Xenopus tropicalis: one gene and its partners. The protein of the gene in region 1 purifies or fractionates together with the protein of each later gene. This does not show direct contact. Links are inferred from orthologs where the notes say so. Each region holds a gene or a part of one and is shown on either strand. Other genes may lie near its edges. The genes, in order: atp6ap2, ccdc115 and V-type proton ATPase subunit S1.

Evidence for each region.
Region 2: the proteins of atp6ap2 (region 1) and ccdc115 purify together in Homo sapiens (affinity purification with mass spectrometry; 3 studies listed by BioGRID and IntAct, counting the BioPlex papers as one, with this or other methods). This does not show direct contact. The link is inferred for Xenopus tropicalis from reciprocal best matches to the Homo sapiens genes ATP6AP2 and VMA22.
Region 3: the proteins of atp6ap2 (region 1) and V-type proton ATPase subunit S1 purify together in Homo sapiens (affinity purification with mass spectrometry; 5 studies listed by BioGRID and IntAct, counting the BioPlex papers as one, with this or other methods). This does not show direct contact. The link is inferred for Xenopus tropicalis from reciprocal best matches to the Homo sapiens genes ATP6AP2 and ATP6AP1.

The regions. Positions count from the first base shown.
Region 1 is NC_030678.2:56,959,204-56,963,239, reverse strand, and holds the start of atp6ap2 (renin receptor precursor), read left to right. Parts: upstream 1-1,236; 5' UTR 1,237-1,265; coding exon 1,266-1,302; intron 1,303-4,036. UniProt on the Homo sapiens protein: Multifunctional protein which functions as a renin, prorenin cellular receptor and is involved in the assembly of the lysosomal proton-transporting V-type ATPase (V-ATPase) and the acidification of the endo-lysosomal system.
Region 2 is NC_030684.2:595,333-599,505, reverse strand, and holds the start of ccdc115 (coiled-coil domain-containing protein 115), read left to right. Parts: upstream 1-1,347; 5' UTR 1,348-1,432; coding exon 1,433-1,555; intron 1,556-1,681; coding exon 1,682-1,785; intron 1,786-3,141; exon of another isoform or gene 3,142-3,294; intron 3,295-3,475; exon of another isoform or gene 3,476-3,789; coding exon of another isoform or gene 3,790-4,173. Other genes in the region: U3 small nucleolar ribonucleoprotein protein IMP4, read right to left, coding at 1,215-1,217; uncharacterized protein LOC116406687, read left to right, coding at 3,790-4,173. UniProt on the Homo sapiens protein: Accessory component of the proton-transporting vacuolar (V)-ATPase protein pump involved in intracellular iron homeostasis.
Region 3 is NC_030679.2:70,223,422-70,227,612, reverse strand, and holds the start of V-type proton ATPase subunit S1, read left to right. Parts: upstream 1-1,346; 5' UTR 1,347-1,407; coding exon 1,408-1,508; intron 1,509-4,191. Other genes in the region: iqub (IQ and ubiquitin-like domain-containing protein), read left to right, coding at 1-76. UniProt on the Homo sapiens protein: Accessory subunit of the proton-transporting vacuolar (V)-ATPase protein pump, which is required for luminal acidification of secretory vesicles.

The DNA of each region.
Region 1 (4,036 bases):
ATTACAGAGGTTTAAAAAATACAGAGGGGTTACAGCCTGAATCTGAGGTGTGAACTCTGTACTGATGCCATTTAAATCTTACACAAAGGTAAGCAGTCACAGCAGCCAGACAGGTGGGGGGCCACACAGAAGGGGGTCGCGGGCCGCCGGTTGGACAGCACTGCTTTAGACGATTCGTCAGTTTATCAACACATGTATGGGACCCCCCCAATCGATATCTGGCTGAAAATCGACCTGCGTGTCCTCTTCCCATTGCTTGGTATGTGGGCAAAATTTTGGTGCGGCTGGGTGGCATGCTGCCCCTAAATTTCTGCCACCCTAGGCCAGGGCCTTTGTGGCTTTGTCACAAATCCAGGTCTGGGCATATTGTGAGAAGATCCGCTCATTTGGCAACCTCGTAGATGGCCATCTTTGGCCTGTGATCACCCATTCCCACCCCCAGCTGTCAACTGAAGCCTGATTGTAGTAGGAGGGTGAACCATACAGTAGAGCCCATGGGCCTTTCACAGTGTGCTGTATAGTAGATGCATCACTGCTCACCTGCTACCCTTTGCATTACAGGAGACAGTTATCAAATGTGTATAATTTGCTTAACACTTTTATTTTAGTGCTGGTTTAGTACTGGAAGCTTTGGTAGCAATGTTTCATTGCGGGTGAAAGAATCCACAAATGTAGAAAGCCTAAAGTCACTAACACCATAAATGTGTTCTCATATAAAGCTCTGACTAGAGACTGTCACTCCTCTTATTGCCAGTAAAGTACTAGTTTAATCTGAACAAATTACCTACGTTCTCCAGTGATGCAAAAGGCAGATACAGCCAACACAGAAAGTAACTAGAATTTATCCTATCTGCTATATTGTCTAATTTCTATGACCATTCCTTTTAAAACCAGAATTTAGCTTTATAAAGGTCTATTCCCTTATCTGTAACGTAACATATTTCCATTAGGAACTAGACGCGAAGCCTAAATGCCACCATTTCATTTCACTCCCCAGCCATTTCCTCCACCGCCCTCCTTACCTCCCATCTCTGAAAGGGCAAATGAAGTGTCAGTCATTATATGTGCCTTCCTATTGCTTAGTTGTCACATGATATTGACAAAGGCGGGTCAACAATGCACTAGGCTTTCTCGGATTGGCTACACCGGGTCTTCGGAAGCGGTTCACCAGGAAGAATACCACCACCTTCAAGGATTTTGCAGAGGGATGTTATAGTTCTCCATTTAGTCGTTCGAATTTGGCTGAGGTGTTGCCTTCCGAAATCATGCTGCGCCTCGCCCTCGCTGCCCTTGTACTAGCAGGTAATGTAAAGGGATATAGCTGTTACACACTGCCATATTACGCTTGTATGTGGTAGCTGCTGGTTCTGCATAGTGAGCCTGGCTGTTGCCATGTACTGGGCTTGCTCCTTATGTTAAGATTCGCTTTGATTAATTTAAAACTAAAATTTAAACAGTATTAGTATAATAGTACTAGAATAGTATGGATATGAGAAAAAGGAAGTAAATCCACTCAATATTATACAACCATGATATGGAAATTACTGTAATGAAATATGTGAAATATCTGTGTTAAATCTAACAGAATGGGTTACCATATTTTCTCGAATAAAATGGTTTTAAGCATCATTTTACCTGCCAGATGGCAAGTTATTAAAGAAGCTGAGAGGGAGAGAACCACAGGCTGTATGGCCCCCCTGACAGTTTATGGCCCCCAGCCCCCCAGTGGCTCAGTGCATTTTATTGTTTTCTTATAATGTGAACCCCCAATAGTGGATTATCAACCCCACTGGATTGGTTGGTTTATGCAGCTCTCCTGTGATTCAGATTCATAATTCTTATTTATTATTAACAACGATTTCAATGTAAAATTGTACCTGATTTGTCACTTGAAAAAACAGATCATTTTGAAAAGGGAAAGTAATCATGGGATGTTTCACACTGCAGTTTGGCTTACTCCCTTTTTAAAAAAATATTTGTAAATCAAATTACTTGTAATAATAATATGTATATATATTTGTATATAATATGACTTATATTCTGTTTAATAGAATGTGCACATAACCGATATATAGAGAGCGGATACAGGCAGAATATCTGTGGGGAGAGTTTGGTGAGGCTGCATGTGACTGATTTTGCAAGCGTCACATGATTTGCCTTCCTACTGCTGGAACGGAAAGATGTTACACACAGCTCCCACTGTGGAGACATCTTTTGTCGGTGTGCAAATATTAATAGAGTTTATTACTATGTTGCCTTTCCTAAACATTATCTAGTATGTGTAATTTGTTGACAAACATTGGAGGAATGAGAAAATGATCAGACATTATAAATGATACATCTTTATTGTATTTACTTTTCCATACATTTACCAACCACAGAAACATGAAAGCCCCCTCCCCTTTACATGAGCCATATGAGGAAGTCACCTACATAACCCCTTTGTCCTGACCTTTTTAAATCGATCTGCTGTCATTAACATTATAGGGAGCAATGTATGCCCTATTGTAAATATGATAGTAGAGAGTAGTCTTGGATGGGTTACATTATTTAGTTAACATGCTTCTGGATATCTGATCAGGTTAGATCAGTGATCCCCAACCAGTGGTTCGTGAGCAACATGTTGCTCCCCAAACCCCTTGGATGTTGCTCCCAGTGGGCTCAAAGTAGGTGCTTATTGTTCAATTTGTAGCTTAGATGCAGGTGTTGATTGACCCAGTGTAAAGCCAAACAGAGCCTTCTATAGGCTGCCAGTCCACATAGGGGTTACCAAATAGCCATTTATAGCTCCTATTTGCACCCCCATTAACTTTTTCTATGGTTGTGTTGCTTCCCAACAATTTTTCCATTTGAATGTGGCTCACGGGTATAAAAGGTTGGGGATCCCTGGGTTAGATGATCATACATTTAATTTACAATTGCTACATGAAATGGTTAATAAGCCCCATTGTTAATTATTTGTTTGTCAGATGTAATTATTCAGTCCAGTAGCTGTAAATTCTTGTACCCCCAACCATAAAATATAAGGATATTATAAAGAGTTTTATTACAATATAAAGAGGCTGAAGTCCACTAAGTTGACTAATAATATCATCATCTTTAAAAGCAAGGGGTATATGATATTGTTATATTAACTGTGTACAAGTTTCAATTGACTAAGTGACATAGATTTCATCTCTAAGCACTGATATTAACTGGTGACATCACTAGGCACTGTGTATGAGGATACAGGTATGGGACCTGTTATCCACAATGCTTGGGACCTGAGTTTTTATGGATAAAGGGATATTTCCATAATTTGGGTCATCATACTTTGTCTACTAAAAAATAACATATAAACATTAAATACACCCAATAGGATTACGTTGCCTTCAATAATGATCTTAGTTGGGATCAAGTACAAGGTACTGTTTTATTAGAATAGAAAAGGGAAATCTTTTTTAGAAAATTTTTAGAAATTATAAATATTTGATAAAAATGGAGAGATGCACTTCCTGTAATTGGAGGATTTCTGGATAATAGGTTTCCAGATAAGGGATTCCATACCTGTATAATTTATTTGTGTATTATATCATTATACATGATGGATACAGTGGCTGCTGCACTCTCTGCCTTTGCTCATGTCCTGTCTGACCACATAAACAATCGCTAGACAAGTTTAGAATGAAAATGCATTAGTCCCCAGAAAGAGTTAAGCAGTCAAAATGTGCTGTTTGTAGTTCATTGCAGTTGTGACAAAGGTAAGTGGTTAGAATAACCTGGGTTTTACTTGCAATTTCTTGAGTGATCCAGTAAAGGGCAAAAAGTCAAGAGATACAGGGACTCTTGTGCAGATATGTGAGATGTCCTTTGTTATTTAACACATCTTCTAATAAATTATTCACAAATGTATTTGCTAATGTTAAAAAACACCCTTATTAACATAAGCTTATTTTTTTGAGCTAATGTATAAGAAGTGTATAAGTGCTATACACTGGTAATTTTTTTTTTTAATAGACACTTATGACTCCTCAGATTGAGAGGAAACCATGATAGT
Region 2 (4,173 bases), on another chromosome or scaffold:
TTATGGGTAACTATGGGGCTCCCCCGCACCCCTATTACCCCCAGTACAGCACAGCATTATGGGTAACTATGGGGCCCCCCGTACCCCTATTACCCCCAGTACAGCACAGCATTATGGGTAACTATGGGGCCCCCCGCACCCCTATTACCCCCAGTACAGCACAGCATTATGGGTAACTATGGGGCTCCCCGTACCCCTATTACCCCCAGTACAGCACAGCATTATGGGTAACTATGGGGCTCCCCCGCACCCCTATTACCCCCAGTACAGCACAGCATTATGGGTAACTATGGGGCTCCCCGTACCCCTATTACCCCCAGTACAGCACAGCATTATGGGTAACTATGGGGCCCCCTGTACCCCTATTACCCCCAGTACAGCACAGCATTATGGGTAACTATGGGGCTCCCTGTACCCCTATTACCCCCAGTACAGCACAGCATTATGGGTAACTATGGGACTCCCCGTACCCCTATTACCCCCAGTACAGCACAGCATTATGGGTAACTATGGGGCTCCCTGTACCCCTATTACCCCCAGTACAGCACAGCATTATGGGTAACTATGGGACTCCCTGTACCCCTATTACCCCCAGTACAGCACAGCATTATGGGTAACTATGGGGCTCCCTGTACCCCTATTACCCCAGTACAGCACAGCATTATGGGTAACTATGGGGCTCCCTGTACCCCTATTACCCCCAGTACAGCACAGCATTATGGGTAACTATGGGACTCCCTGTACCCCTATTACCCCCAGTACAGCACAGCATTATGGGTAACTATGGGGCTCCCTGTACCCCTATTACCCCCAGTACAGCACAGCATTATGGGTAACTATGGGGCTCCCCCGTACCCCTATTACCCCCAGTACAGCACAGCATTATGGGTAACTATGGGACTCCCTGTACCCCTATTACCCCCAGTACAGCACAGCATTATGGGTAACTATGGGACTCCCTGTACCCCTATTACCCCCAGTACAGCACAGCATTATGGGTAACTATGGGGCTCCCTGTACCCCTATTACCCCCAGTACAGCACAGCATTATGGGTAACTATGGGGCTCCCTGTACCCCTATTACCCCCAGTACAGCACAGCATTATGGGTAACTATGGGACTCCCTGTACCCCTATTACCCCCAGTACAGCACAGCATTATGGGTAACTATTACATTACGGTATTGGGGGGTATTGGGGGCCCCTAACACTCACCATGGTTGCGCTGTTCCGACCCCACGTGTAGCCCCTGAGAAATACCGGAAGAGAACCCCGGAAGTGACCTCACTGCGCCCCAAAGAAAGATGGCCGCCAGTGACGAACAGGAAGTGGTTTCCGTGACATGTCCCGGCTCTGTGCTTCCGCGTTGGGCAGTCATGTGAGTGGGTAGGAAGCACAGAGGGGCCCGGGAGTGAGTGAGTGAGTGGGTCGGGATGGGGTCGGACACGGAGGTGGCGCTGCTGTGCGGGCGGCTGGATGCGCTAACACTGCGCCTGATGGAGGAGCTGGAGAGTCTGCGGGACAAGCGGGAAGCGCTCAACCAACACATTGAGCAGGTACTACAGCTCCCAGCATGCACCCCGGGCCCCTGGCTGATTGGCTCATACCTACCTGCCGGGGGGGGGGGGGGGGGTGTATGTTCCCCTAGTGCGCTCCCCGTGTAACCCTTTCCTACCCCCCAGGGCTGGCTGTGCCTCTCCCAGGCCCGATACTCTATGGGGAACAAGCGTGTGGGCTCCCTGCACTACCGACCCGACATGGCGCCCCTCACCCTGGTACAGAGCCGGTAAGTACCCCCATGCATCTGCCCCCCCATGCATCTGCCCCCCCATGCATCTGCCCCCCCATGCATCTGCCCCCCACCCTGGTACAGAGCATGTTAGTACCCCCTATGTATCTGCCCCTCACCCTGGTACAGAGCGGGTAAGTACCCCCCCATGTATCTGCCCCCCCTATGTATCTGCCCCCCCTATGTATCTGCCCCTCACCCTGGTACAGAGCATGTTAATACCCCCTATGTATCTGCCCCTCACCCTGGTACAGAGCGGGTAAGTACCCCCCTATGTATCTGCCCCTCCTATGTATCTGCCCCTCACCCTGGTACAGAGCGGGTAAGTATCCCCCTATGTATCTGCCCCTCCTATGTATCTGCCCCTCACCCTGGTACAGAGCGGGTAAGTACCCCCCCATGTATCTGCCCCCCCCTATGTATCTGCCCCTCACCCTGGTACAGAGCATGTTAATACCCCCTATGTATCTGCCCCTCACCCTGGTACAGAGCGGGTAAGTACCCCCCTATGTATCTGCCCCTCCTATGTATCTGCCCCTCACCCTGGTACAGAGCGGGTAAGTATCCCCCTATGTATCTGCCCCTCCTATGTATCTGCCCCTCACCCTGGTACAGAGCGGGTAAGTACCCCCCCATGTATCTGCCCCCCCTATGTATCTGCCCCTCACCCTGGTACAGAGCATGTTAATATCCCTATGTATCTGCCCCTCACCCTGGTACAGAGCGGGTAAGTACGCCCCCTATGTATCTGCCCCTCCTATGTATCTGCCCCTCACCCTGGTACAGAGCGGGTAAGTACCCCCCTATGTATCTGCCCCTCCTATGTATCTGCCCCTCACCCTGGTACAGAGCGGGTAAGTACCCCCTATGTATCTGCCCCTCCTATGTATCTGCCCCTCACCCTGGTACAGAGCGGGTAAGTACCCCCCTATGTATCTGCCCCTCCTATGTATCTGCCCCTCACCCTGGTACAGAGCGGGTAAGTACCCCCCTATGTATCTGCCCCCCTATGTATCTGCCCCTCACCCTGGTACAGAGCATGTAAGTACCCCCCTATGTATCTGCCCCTCACCCTGGTACAGAGCATGTAAGTACCCCCCCTATGTATCTGCCCCTCACCCTGGTACAGAGCATGTAAGTACCCCCCTATGTATCTGCCCCTCACCCTGGTACAGAGCGGGTAAGTACCCCCCTATGTATCTGCCCCCCTATGTATCTGCCCCTCACCCTGGTACAGAGCATGTAAGTACCCCCCTATGTATCTGCCCCTCACTCTGGTACAGAGCGGGTAAGTACCCCCTATGTATCTGCCCCCTATGTATCTGCCCCTCACCCTGGTACAGAGCGGGTAAGTACCCCCCTATGGATCTGCCCCTCACTCTCACCCCCTTCTTACCCCGTGTGTCTGTGTGTTACTCTGTATTTACTGTACTGCACTGGGGCAGAGAGATCCGTCATTATTATATCAATGCCCCACCCCTTCCCATTGGCTGCTGGGGCAGAGAGATCCCTCATTATTATATCAATGCCCCGCCCCTTCCCTTCCCATTGGCTGCTGGGGCAGAGAGGTCCCTCATTATTATATCAATGCCCCGCCCTTTCCCTTCCCATTGGCTGCTGGGGCAGAGAGATCCCTCATTATTATATCAATGCCCCGCCCCTTCCCATTGGCTGCTGGGGCAGAGAGATCCCTCATTATTATATCAATGCCCCTTCCCTTCCCATTGGCTGCTGGGGCAGAGAGATCCGTCATTATTATATCAATGCCCCGCCCCTTCTCTTCCCATTGGCTGCTGGGGCAGAGAGATCCGTCATTATTATATCAATGCCCCGCCCCTTCCCATTGGCTGCTGGGGCAGAGAGATCCCTCATTATTATATCAATGCCCCGCCCCTTCCCATTGGCTGCTGGGGCAGAGAGATCCGTCATTATTATATCAATGCCCCGCCCCTTCTCTTCCCATTGGCTGCTGGGGCAGAGAGATCCGTCATTATTATATCAATGCCCCGCCCCTTCCCATTGGCTGCTGGGGCAGAGAGATCCCTCATTATTATATCAATGCCCCGCCCCTTCCCTTCCCATTGGCTGCTGGGGCAGAGAGATCCCTCATTATTATATCAATGCCCCTTCCCTTCCCATTGGCTGCTGGGGCAGAGAGATCCGTCATTATTATATCAATGCCCCGCCCCTTCCCTTCGGCTGCTGGGGCAGAGATCCGTCATTATTCTATCAATGCCCCGCCCCTTCCCTTCCCATTGGCTGCTGGGGCAGAGCGATCCCTCATTATTATATCAATGCCCCGCCCCTTCCCATTGGCTGCTGGGGCAGAGAGATCCCTCATTATTATATCAATGCCCCGCCCCTTCCCTTCCCATTGGCTACTGG
Region 3 (4,191 bases), on another chromosome or scaffold:
GATCCCAGAGATGGCACCATTTCTGAATGCAGAGATGTCTAATAAGAATCCTGCAAAAAATGATCTTATTAATTAATTAAACCATTTCAACACTTTCCTGTGTTTAGGTTTTACATCTGAGGCCCTGGGCACACGGAGCAGTTTGTCTGCTTCTCTCAGTGGAATATGACTTGGTGGTATCTGACAGAATGCTGGCAGTTCTTCTTTCTGCCTAAGTGTGCCATTTTTACTGCTATAGCTTGTTTTTGACACAACACTGTGAATTCTTCTGTTAAAGATGCCATTAAATAATTCTAAAAAATGTTATAGTTGCAACTTAAGTAAGACATGCAAACAAAATAGTTTTATACATCTTTATTGGGGATCTCCACCCAATAATTATATAATATGTAACTCTAAGCAGCTTTTCAATATACACTGATTAAATAATTTCATGGCTTTTGTGTTATTTGCAAATTAAATTGCTGTTGATAGCAGTATTTGTTCCCTTTCTGTTCGCTGGGTCTGATGTAACACAGTGTAACAGTAGTCTACTCCAGGTCTTTTAATCTGCTTTTATCAAGTGGTTTGCAACACTGTTTCAGGAGTCAGAGTCAATAGTGCAGAGAATGTAAACAGTCAAATAGATACTGGAGCATAAAAATCGTACAGGTATGGGGCCCATTATCCAGAATACTCGAGACCTGGGGTTTTCTCGATAAGGGATCTTTCCGTAATTTGGATCTCCATACCTTAAGTCTACTTAAACATTATTTAAATATGAAATAAACCCAATAGGCTTGTTTTGCTTCCAGTAAGGATTAATTGTATATTAGTTGGAATTAAGTACAAGGTACAGTTTTATTATTACAAGAAAATGGAAATAATTTTTAAAAATTGGAATTATTTGCTTATAATGGAGTCAAAGGGAGATGGCCTTCCCGTAATTCAGAACTTTCTGGATAAAGGGTTTCCAGATAAAGGATCCCATACCTGTACAGAGCTTTACCAGTTTCTAGAAATGCTAAGGCCAGCTTGGGGAGCAACAGGCAAGAGCAGCATTTAAATAGGTGCAATGAACTATATAAATGAAATATACCTGTACCTGTATCAAATATTTTGAAATATATTCAATGTATTTTTAATAACAATGGCAGCTGTTATTACACCATCTATTCTTTAGCAACCACAGTAAGACACAGATCATTTTCTACAGAATCTTCCCCTTTACAGCCCATAAGAATTTACAACAGCATTTAGACAATGCTGTAGTTAATCACATGCTTCACATGTGTTTGTTTACATAAAACAAAAAGTGTTTTGGGTAAAACAGGTGCATCTGATTGGACTGGTTTCTCTTTATCTCTGTGAAACAGCAGAAGAGCAGAGTGAAATCCAAGCACAGTTGTGTGCTGCCTTTTTGCCAACATGTTGCTGCCTTTTTGGCTTCTTCTCTGCCTTTGCTTTGCCTTTATCTCTGCAGTGATGCCTATGAGTCATGTTCCTGTACTAATATGGTCAACAGAAAGGTAGGAACTTAAATTAAAGGTTTTTGTTTTTTTTAATATAGCGTATATCTAATGAGATAGGATAGAAAATGCTGAAAATGACTAATAAAGCATTAGTAGCATGACATTACATTAGTAGGACATTAGAGCATGTAGTTATAACATTTTTAAAGCAATATTTCATCTGTAGCTTTATTAGCTAAGAAAAACCAAGGTCACTAAAATGTCTTTCTCAGTCAGGAATTATTGAATGGTAATTTTACTTTATTGAAGTCTAAAGATGAACTTTTATTTTATCTAAGCAATGCAGACTGATATCTTGGTGCAAAATAACCAATATCTGTATGTTAAAGGTGATAAAAGAAACTAAAGGTAAAATAAATGTAGCTTGTTGGATTAATTGGATTTCTTTTGCCCTCTAAGGGGTAGGTATACAAACTGCGTTTCTGGTCCCACTAGGGGGGACCGAAGCAGTAGATATGCTATTGTAAGAAAAATTAAGGGTGGATGTCAGTTTCTTTGCTGGCATATCAGGTACCCTTCAACTTCTTGAATGTGTATGTTCTGACGGGCATGGGATCAGCATATTTAACATTTATGTGTGGATATCCCCTTTATGTGTGCCATGACGGTCTTATCCTGTGCCTATCAGTGCACACACATTTAGTAAAAGGAAGGCAGCAGATATACCTGCAAAAACACTGAGCTATTTGCCATTAGCCCAATAAGTAGTGTTGCACACATTTTTATAGGTCTGCAACCTTGTTTCATAACTCAGAGTCAGAGTGGCAGCTCTGAGGCAACAGTGTTTGATATAGATTCAGTGCAAGTCATTTAGAAAATGTGTTGAAAAAAAAAAAAAACTGTGAATGGGCCGTGATGTAATGATGTTAAAAACAGTAATTTGTTCTCTCAGTAAAGAACATTTTAATAAACAATTTGCATGATTAATATGTGCTAATACGTTATTTCAACATCATACATTTTCACTTGCCTTTGTCCTACGCTGTGTAAGGAGCTAGGGTTTAAAAAGGCATGTGTAAACACTGATTTTTGGTGGAGGGGGTGGTTCAATTCTTTAAATATTTATTAAGCTGTATTGTTGATAGAAAAAAACGGAAAGCAACTGTTAGAAGATAAACAGTAGAATATAGCTAGTTAAACAGGGTTTGTTGCAAATTCAGGAGACTCAAGTGCTTAGCCATCCTATTACCGGCTCCCACCTAAACTAGTGGTGATCTGCATATATACATAGCAGACCCGTTGGTCTTGGGGGGCCCGGGCAGCATGGGGGGGGCACAGTTGTGAGAGGAAGAATATAGTTTGCAAACGGAATGTTAACTCTTTTTCTGTTAATATTCATATTTATTTCTTCAATGTGAGTGAGCAATTACTAAATGAGATCAGTCTGCATTGCTTAGATAAAAGTATATTTAGGGCAATGTGAATAATTTTACACTATGAGCATACATGCAAGCATTATTCAGTTGATTTTTTATGAACATCACTGATCACCTGTGGACAAGCCGAGAGAGAGGTATGATTAAAGGGAAATGTGAAAGAAAAAAAGAAAAACCATTTCCTTTACTTATGCTGTGATTGATCTGACAGCCCTTCCCCCAGCCAAAGTGAATCTGGAAATACTACATTCCCAGGAATACATATTCCTAAAACTTAACATCCAACAGCACAACCAAGCTGAATCCAAGTACAACAAACTGTAAGCAAAACAACTAATATTACAACTAATATTACAACATACACACAATTGCATACAAAACATGAATACATTTAGCATTAAATGTTCAATAAATGTACTGGATTATAATTATTATTGTTTTTAGTAACACATATTTATAAAGGGCCAGCATATTCTGCAGTGGTGTTCAACAGATGGGTGCATACATCAGACATAAAGGTTATATATAAATATAGACTGATACAAAAATTAGGGTAAATCTTTACAATCTAAAAGAATAATCATAGATTATGCTATACATAAAGCTAAATGTATCTGCATATCTATATTTAGTAAAACATATGGGGGCCACATAATGTTTTTCTCAACCAAAGAAAACCTTCTGTAAACTCCAACTGAACACTGTCCCCCGTGGTCAAATAATGTTGAAAGTGTGTAACAATCTGGTTAGATGGCCGAACCTGATGCATGCTTTTCTTTTTTCAACCTTATCTACTCATTTACTTTTACAAATGCAGCAAGCAAAGAGCCATTTTCCACCAGAATTTCATCATCATTGTAGTTGCAAGGGTGTGCTGTGCTTGGCACAGTTGCTCTGCGCCTACTGCAGTTGCTCTGAATCAACCAGTTACCTCAACTGCACACATTTCAATGCAAATCAGACACAATTGCGCAGAAGACCATCCAGCATCATTTCCAATGTTCTGAGTGTGAGTGACGTCTGTGCCCCTATTGCCCAGGTGCAAGTATGCTGCACCTATTGATGCTGGCCATGAAGGGAACCCTGCAGCTACCACCTGGCCAGGAGGTGGCAGTAACTCTAAGGTTCCGTGCATCACTAGGTGCAGCAGCACTTAATTTAGAATAGAAGGCAGAAGGGACTGAGCAGTTCCAAACGCAAATATACGGAAGTGCTTGATCAAGTGTGCTAAACTGAAACAGGCCTTTTAAATAATAAAGGACACCAAAATTAAAGTAGTCACCAGAAAGTAACGCTGTGGTGTC